Ovis aries: one gene and its partner. The protein of the gene in region 1 interacts with the protein of each later gene in a biochemical or structural test. Links are inferred from orthologs where the notes say so. Each region holds a gene or a part of one and is shown on either strand. Other genes may lie near its edges.

Evidence for each region. The genes of interacting proteins can lie anywhere in the genome.
Region 2: the proteins of MAGEF1 (region 1) and NSMCE1 form a complex in vitro, tested with the Homo sapiens proteins (2 studies listed by BioGRID). The link is inferred for Ovis aries from reciprocal best matches to the Homo sapiens genes MAGEF1 and NSMCE1.

What each region holds. Positions count from the first base shown.
Region 1 is NC_056054.1:203,287,821-203,291,227, reverse strand, and holds MAGEF1 (melanoma-associated antigen F1), read right to left. Parts: upstream 2,238-3,407; 5' UTR 2,070-2,237; coding exon 1,146-2,069; 3' UTR 633-1,145; downstream 1-632. UniProt on the Homo sapiens protein: Enhances ubiquitin ligase activity of RING-type zinc finger-containing E3 ubiquitin ligases. Proposed to act through recruitment and/or stabilization of the E2 ubiquitin-conjugating enzyme at the E3:substrate complex.
Region 2 is NC_056077.1:25,353,867-25,358,281, forward strand, and holds the start of NSMCE1 (non-structural maintenance of chromosomes element 1 homolog), read right to left. Parts: upstream 2,871-4,415; 5' UTR 2,745-2,870; intron 2,709-2,744; exon of another isoform or gene 2,579-2,708; intron 1-2,578. UniProt on the Homo sapiens protein: RING-type zinc finger-containing E3 ubiquitin ligase that assembles with melanoma antigen protein (MAGE) to catalyze the direct transfer of ubiquitin from E2 ubiquitin-conjugating enzyme to a specific substrate.

The DNA.
Region 1 (3,407 bases):
ATGAAGACTGATGGAAGGGAGATGGAGAAGACCAAAATGCCAATAGACACCATCATGTATCCACTGTAATAAAGAGCCCTGGGCCAAGTACACTGGCCAAAGGTGGCTGTTTTCCAGATCTATCAAGTCATCCCATGTAACTAAAGAGCATCTTAAGTAGTCATTTTTAATACCATCTCCTCACTGCAACTTCTCCCCGACCCCCCACCCCCGTCTTTTCACCTTCCCTACACTGAAGTCCCACTAAAGGTAATTTCAGGCAAGCCTCACTCAATCACTCCAATGGGGCTGGGTGTCCCACTGTAGCCTTCAACTCACTGTACTATAATTTCTGGTTTATTTACTGTCCAGCTGTGAAGAGTAGGACCTTTATCTTGCTCAGCATGTGTGTATTAGTTGCTCAGTCATGTCCAACTCTTTTCGATCCCACGGACTGTAGCTCTCCAAGCTCCTCTGTCCACGGAACTCTCCAGGTAAGAATACTGAAGTGGGTTGCCAGTCCCTTCTCCAGGGGATCTTCCCAGCCCAGGGATGGAACCTGGGTCTCCTGCATTGCAGGCAGATTCTTTAACCTGAGTCACCTGGGAAGCCCTTTAATTCCCAAATACCCACAACAGTGCATCACACAAAGATGCTTAACAAATGTTTATTATGTGTACCAGGTTATACCTCTAATTTATTGCATCCCCCCCACCAGATATTATAATAACTAAGCAGAGTTACATGTCAGTCTTTTTTCTTTATACAATAGACAAAAACTGTTAGAAAGCTAGATACCATTTAGCTATTTTTTCCCCTGGTACCAGATCATTATACTGCTGAGTTCCTTCAAACTATTTAAATACATCATTTGGTGCTGCATAATTTGTTCAAGACCACAGAAAAAAATGTAAAGTTTTTTCAATTCATTTTACAAAACCAGCAAAAATCTACAACAAAATCCTACAGGAAAAAGTAGACGAATTTCATTTATAAACATCAATTTAACAGTATATTAAACGTAGCAAAACCGAGCAAGATACAAAAACTAAATCCTAGTTACACGAACACAAATGCTACAGAAATAAAGACCCTCTCCCCACCGAGTCTACTTATGACGCAGACGGTAGCTTTTATATCGTCCCACCCCCACCCCTAGCTGGCCCTCACCAGAGGTGAGTGCTGGCCCTAGCCCTCACACTGGCCCCAGCTCTGGCCCTATCAGCCTCATCTGCCAGGGCCTCACGGTACTGCACTGGCCAGTGTTGGGGTTCTTTCTTATGGAGCTTGGCCACGAACCCCAGGACTTTCATCTTGCTGGTTTCCAAGTTGCTTCGGGGACCCCAAGAGAATTCACATTCCGGTGGGTTGGTGTGAGGCACACGCCTGTAATTGAGGTATCTCAGCTGCACGAAATCTTCCATAATAAGCCTCTTCGGGTACCCAAAGAGGAAGTGATACTTTGAGGGACGCACCCCCAACCGACGCAGCATCGCCCAGACCTGTGCCTCTCTGGCGCTATTACCTTTCATGTAGATAAGGCCCAAGATCATCATTAAGAGACCCAACCTGGGGCCATCTCCTCCCAGAGCCTCCTCCTCATGCTCAATAGGTTTTAGCTTGTTGATCAGGATGTAAGTGTGGTGCTTGCGGTCAAGCTGTTTCAGCTCGAAACCGAAGACGTACCGCAGATGCTCTGCGGCCCTTGCGATGATCTCAGGGAATAGATCCTTTAAGTCTCCGATAACGTATTTCACCATCTCGGAGCGAGTGATGGGGCTCTTCTTCCTGTCCTTCAACAGCAGAAATTGCACCAACTCGGCTACCGTCCGATCCAGACGGCGGCAGGCTCTACGCCGGGCCAAGGTTTTGGCTGCCAAAGCCCTCGCGCCTTTCGGGGTGAGAGAGGGTTCCGAAGCCCCCTCCTCCCTTACAGCGCCAAGGTCCTCCTCGGGGCTCTCCTGCAGGAGGGGGCTCGGGGCCATCTCCTGCGAGGCGGTCAGAGGCTGGGTCTCACCGTCATGGCTGCCATCCATCTCCCTCTCCGCCTGAGGGATGGGGAGAGCCCCGCTCTCGGGTTTCTGCAACATGTTTTCGGGCAGGCAGGTGCAGAGCGCGTACGCGGGCCGCGGGGTGTGCGAGCCGCTGCACAAACCCCGGTGGAGGGGTTGGACAGCGGCTGGGGCGGCTGCAGGAGGACTAGGAGAGATGACACGGGGTTTTGCGGCTGCTGGGCTGCACCGCAGAAGGCTCGGGACGGTTGCCGCGACGCGGCCACCGCGCAGCCTCAGTGCGCACTCGCTGGCCGACTTGCCAGACTTCTTCCGGCCAACTCAGCCAAGATGGCGGCCCCGAGGCCGCGCGAAGCCCGTCCTCTTCCGGCTCCCGCTGGGGTAGGAGTGCTCACAGGCTTCTCAGGATGCCCAGGCTGTGGAGGAGTCAGGGCTGACTTTTAGTCTGACAGGCTGGAGGCGGGAGCAACCAGGCTATCCTAAGGTTTCAGTGTAGAAGGATGAAGTAGGGATGGAGTTCTAGCCACGTCCCTTCAGCAGGTGCTTATTTCTAAGTGCGCGTGTCTAAGATTTTGAGTGATTCACTGTGTCACAAGTGCGGTCTGCATGGAGGTAAAGCCTGGGAGATAAAAGGCTGTGCGGGACAGTTCGTGACAGACTTTGAACACGATGCTCGGGAGATTGAAATCTGTTTAAACAAGGGAGTGTCCGGACCGGATCTGTATCATCTAGTCTCTCTGGTGGCCCTGTGGAGTATGGATTGGAGAAGGGCTGACCAAAAGCTGGGAATCTAGCTTGGAGTATTGGCATTATTATAGTGCAGAATAGGAACTGAGATGTGCCCTGCCTTGTTCATTGGCATTATCCCCAGTGCCCAGAACAGTGCCCAGCACATAGAGGCACTCCATAAGTATTGTAAAATGGATGACGAGAGGGTAAGGATAGCAGATTCTACAGGAGTCAAAGAAGATGATAAAAGAGATGTCAAGGTACAGCTGGCAGAAATAGTAACTAACTGGAGGAAAGGGGAGGGGTTTTGTTTCTAACCTAATCAAACTTAATTACTCCCATTATTTATTTCTTTTTACCTGCTCTGCTCTGACCTTTACCAGTCTGTCTCCCAACCCCCTTTCTCTCCAGCTCCTCCTCCCTCTCTTCCTCTACCTCTTCCTCCTCTCTCCTCCTCTTTCCTCCCCTGCTGTCTCTCCCTCTTCTCTCATTTCCTCCCCTTTCCTCCTCTGGCTCCACTTCTCTCTCTCCTTTCAAGCCTTCCTTAGTTATTTACTGCCATTTCAGAATCACCATCAGTTCAGTTCAGTCGCTCAGTCGTGTCTGACTCTTTGCGACCCCATGAACTGCAGCACGCCAGGCCTCCCTGTCCATCACCATCTCCCGGAGTTCACTCAAACTCACGTC
Region 2 (4,415 bases), on another chromosome or scaffold:
ACCTAGCAACTGAACAATATCAACAATCATATTAGTAGAATAAAGAAGAAAAAGCACACAATCATCCTAATAGATGCAGAAAATAATAGCTGATAAAATTCAACATTCATTCATATAGAAACTCTTTTAACAGACTTGGCATAAAAGGAAACTTCCTTTACTAAATGACATCTACAAAAACCACAGCACACAGAACACTTAAGGATGAAAAGTTAAAAGCAGTTACTTTAAAATTCAAAGTGATCCAATGTAACTGAATCAAAACAATTCCAATCAAAATCCTAACAGGCTTGGTGGGCATGATTGTGTGTGATTTGACAAGATGATTCTAAAATGTATATGGAAAATGTAAACACAAAACAGCAAAGACATTCCTGGAGGACTTGTCATACCAGGTCCCAAGACTTAATATACAGCTAGAGTAATGAATACAGTGTGATAATAATAATAAAGTTGTGGTAATAGTACAGAAATGGACAAACAAGGCCAATGGAATAGAACAGACAACTAAGGAATAGAAAAGGGTATATATATGGATACTTGGCATGCTGCAGAAATGGAACTTCAGGGAAAAGCACTTTTCAATGAAAGGTGCCAGGACAGCCCATTATACATACATGAACAAAATAAAAATAAAATTAGACACTTATTTCACAGTATCCACAAAAATCAATTCTTGAGGGTTAAGATCATAAGAAAGGAACATTATAAAAGTTTTAGACAACACAGGAGTTTGTCTTTAGGACCCAAAGGTAGGAAAGGACTTCTTTAAAAGATATGAAAAAAACAAACCATACAATACACTGATAAATCGACTTTGTTAAAATTAAGAACTTTGCTCACCAAAAACAGAAAGCACGGGAGTCAGAAACAGAAGACAAGCTCAAACTAGAAGATACTTGAAACACATTTAAACCACAAAAGATCCATAATGAGATTAAAAAAAAAAAAAAAACTCCTACAAACCAGTAAGAGGAAGACAACTGGAAGAACGAACATGGAGAATTTTATGAAGACAATGCACAAGTGATTAATAAATTAAGATAAGAAACGTTCAATCTCGCACCAGGCAAATAAGTGTTAAACCACAGTGACTAATGTCTTATCCATCACCAGACAGGCATACATTCTTAAAAATGGTTGAGGCTGAAACTTGCATCAACTGCTGGTAGAGTATAAGCCCTTCTAATTACTTCAGATGTTTATTTGATAACATTAGCAAATCTGATATCCCCACAAAACCACTCTTAGGTATATGCCTTACAGAAATTTTCACATTTACCTCAGGAAGTACGTTTATAAACTTCCTAAAGTAAAAGTAGCATGCTGTAATAGCAAAAATCTGGCAACAGTTTCAACTCAAGAATATCTACATAAAGGCATTTATAAACATACCATGGAATTCAAAGCAGCAATGAAGTAGAGCTACTCATGGCAATATGGATGCATCTCTTAGACGTAACATTATGTGTAAGAATCAACTCACAAAATATATATCTGGATCCCATTTATATAGAATCTAAAAACTAGCAAATCCGTGCATTGCATTAATGAGATAATACTAAAAACTACAAAGAAGAACAAGGGAATGATAACACAATATTCAGGGCAGTGGTTATCTTCCGGGAGGGAAGAAAAGAATTCAATGTAGGCTTTGAGAAAATGATAATGTTCTATTTCTTAACTAGGTGGTGGATGGTCATTGTACTTTTGTTCTTCAAACTTATAGTTGTGTGTTACTATCTTAATAAAAAAAAAGGCTTGTTTGTGCATTGAAGTCAGTTGCCTCTATGAAGGGGGCAGGGGTTAACCATGGATATGTATTACCTACCCAAGTAATTTATAAATAGAAAAGTTTGTGGAATAAGAAAATCTCAAACATAACCATCTGTGCCAAGTGCCAGACACAGTATAAACGCTTCACGTGCAGTCTCATTTCATCCTTGTCAGAATCTTATGAAGAAAGCATGATCCTATTTTACAGATGAGGAACCTGAGGCTGAGAGGGTAGAAGGCAACAGAATTAGTAATGGAGACAGGGAGTGACCATACAAAAGCAGTTAGGAATTCTGACACCCTCGGTTCAAATATTCAAGAAATATGAGTGAACAATAAAATTATCATCCAGGTCCCTTCTCTGCAATTCTCAAATCGAACACACTCTCAAAACCAACTCTTTTAAGTTTGAAAACCTGATCTAACCTAAGGTGAGGTTATTTAGGGTTGTTGCTTACCCCCTATATATATGTGTACATACGCATATATTTAGCTGTGAAAAAAGTATCTGATTACAAGACACTGCTCAAGACCCTGCTGAAGATATGACAGGACCTACAATGCATGTACATTACCTTTGGAAAACTCGAGAAATTCGGCATTCTGAACACATGTAGCCTCAGGGCTCTGAAATAAGGAGCTGCGCACTTGTACAAGGTAATAAGTTCTGTACCCAAAATAGTAGGGAAGCAGAGGCTGTCAACACCGAAAGCATGGTCAGTGGAAGGCCGTACTTATTCAGATTAGTCAATTTTGTATTTCGCTTTTACAACTAATATTCTGATTTAAAGTATTTCCTCACCTAATATTACGACTTTAAAACGTCTGTCTCCGTGTAAGGGCCTAGCTTCCAGCCTGCCCCTCTCGGGGCCTCAGTTTCCCCACCAGGAACTGAGAAGCCCCAGGCCCCCGGACCCCGGCGACACACTGTGCCACACCACGGGACCGACCCCGGGGCCTGACCGCACCTGCTGCCCGCCCCTCGCCTTTCGAGGCGGCCGTTTTCTTTTCCCTTCAGCCTCCCGCCGGGACGCCCAGATTACCCACCACAGCGCCCAAGCGCAGTCCACACAGACGACGACGAAGGCAGAAAGGAGGGTTCGGCCCCTCCTTCTAGGCGGGGCGAACGCGGATGTGGAGCTCCCATTGGTTGCCATCGCAGATCTAGCCCTCCCATAGGGTGACGCACTTCCGTTCTGCAGCCCGCGCTGTTGCCATGGTGCCGCGGGATCTGTCAATTAGGTCCGGAGTTAGAGCATCCCAAGCGACTCTCTGTACCTTATGGGAAAGGGCTTCCTCTTCTCGTCCTCCGCCTTCCACCTCACAGTGGCACCCCGCGGCCCAAGAAGAGGAAGGAAAAGAGTGCTGTGTGCCCTACGTAGTAGGTTCGATTCCACGGGCACAGCTTAATGCTCTGTCCTGGGGCAGTTTCCCATCTTTAGAACAGATAGTGTTTGCCCCATGGTCAAGAACGAGGCCTCTGTTGTCAAATAGCCTAAACTAGAATCCTGGCTTTGCCACGTACTGGTTGCCGAATCTTGTGCAAGTCACTGAGCTGCACTGAGCCTCAGTTTCTTATTCTGTCAAATGGGGATAATAATAGTACCAATGAAACTGTGTTTGTGAGGTTTAAAAGCGATAATGGCGCACTGCTACTCCTAAGTCACTTCAGTCGTGTCCGACTCTGTGCGACCCCATAGACGGCAGCCCACCAGGCACCCCAGTCCCTGGAATTCTCCAGGCAGGAACACTGGAGTGGGTTGCCATTTCCCTCTCCAGTGCATGAAAGTGAAAGTGAAGTCGCTCAGTCGTGTCCGACTCTTCGCGACCCCATGGACTGCAGCCTACCAGGCTCCTCCGCCCATGGGATTTCCCAGGCAAGAGTACTGGAGTGGGGTGCCATTGCCTTCTCCGATAATGACGCACGGAAGTGATTAAATGTTAACTACTGTCTTACCTGGGGATTGTTGTGAGAAGTAAATGACGTTATTAACAGAGGTGAAAGGACTGTTTTGCATCTCCTGGACACTCATATTTACAAATATTTGTATTCCTGTCCCTGGTCTCAGTGCTAGCCGTGCAGTCTAGTAGGGGCAACAGGTAACTAATGACAGACCAGTAGAAAGTACAAGTGTCTATCCCTGTGATGATAGCTTCAAGTCACTTCTTGAGGGGTTTCCACTCCTGTGATCTTGGACAACTTCTCAGTTTCTCTGGACTTCAGTTCCCTCATCTACAAGGGGAGGAAAGCAGTAAAGTATAGTGGTTAAAAGCTTGAGCTCCAGAGCTGGGCCATCTGGATTTGAAACCTGCTTAAAACCTCTTGAGACCCAGGGCAAAGTACCTGGGTACTTTGCTCTCCACCTCAGTTTGCTCCTTCTATAAAGCAGGATAATAATAGCACTTTGTTGATAGGGTTGTTGTGAAGACTGAATGAGTTAATAATGCAAACCACTTACAAGAGTGTCTGGCACAGAGTAAACCCTCAGTAAATGTGAATTTTCATTACTAATAAAGCATACCTTATAAATTGCCTTAGGGGCAGTCGAATAAGAAAAGAACAACCCTCATGAGAACATCTAAGCTTTATTTACTCTGCAAAGTTTTTGGCAAAGTTTCAGCTCATCATCCATATTTAA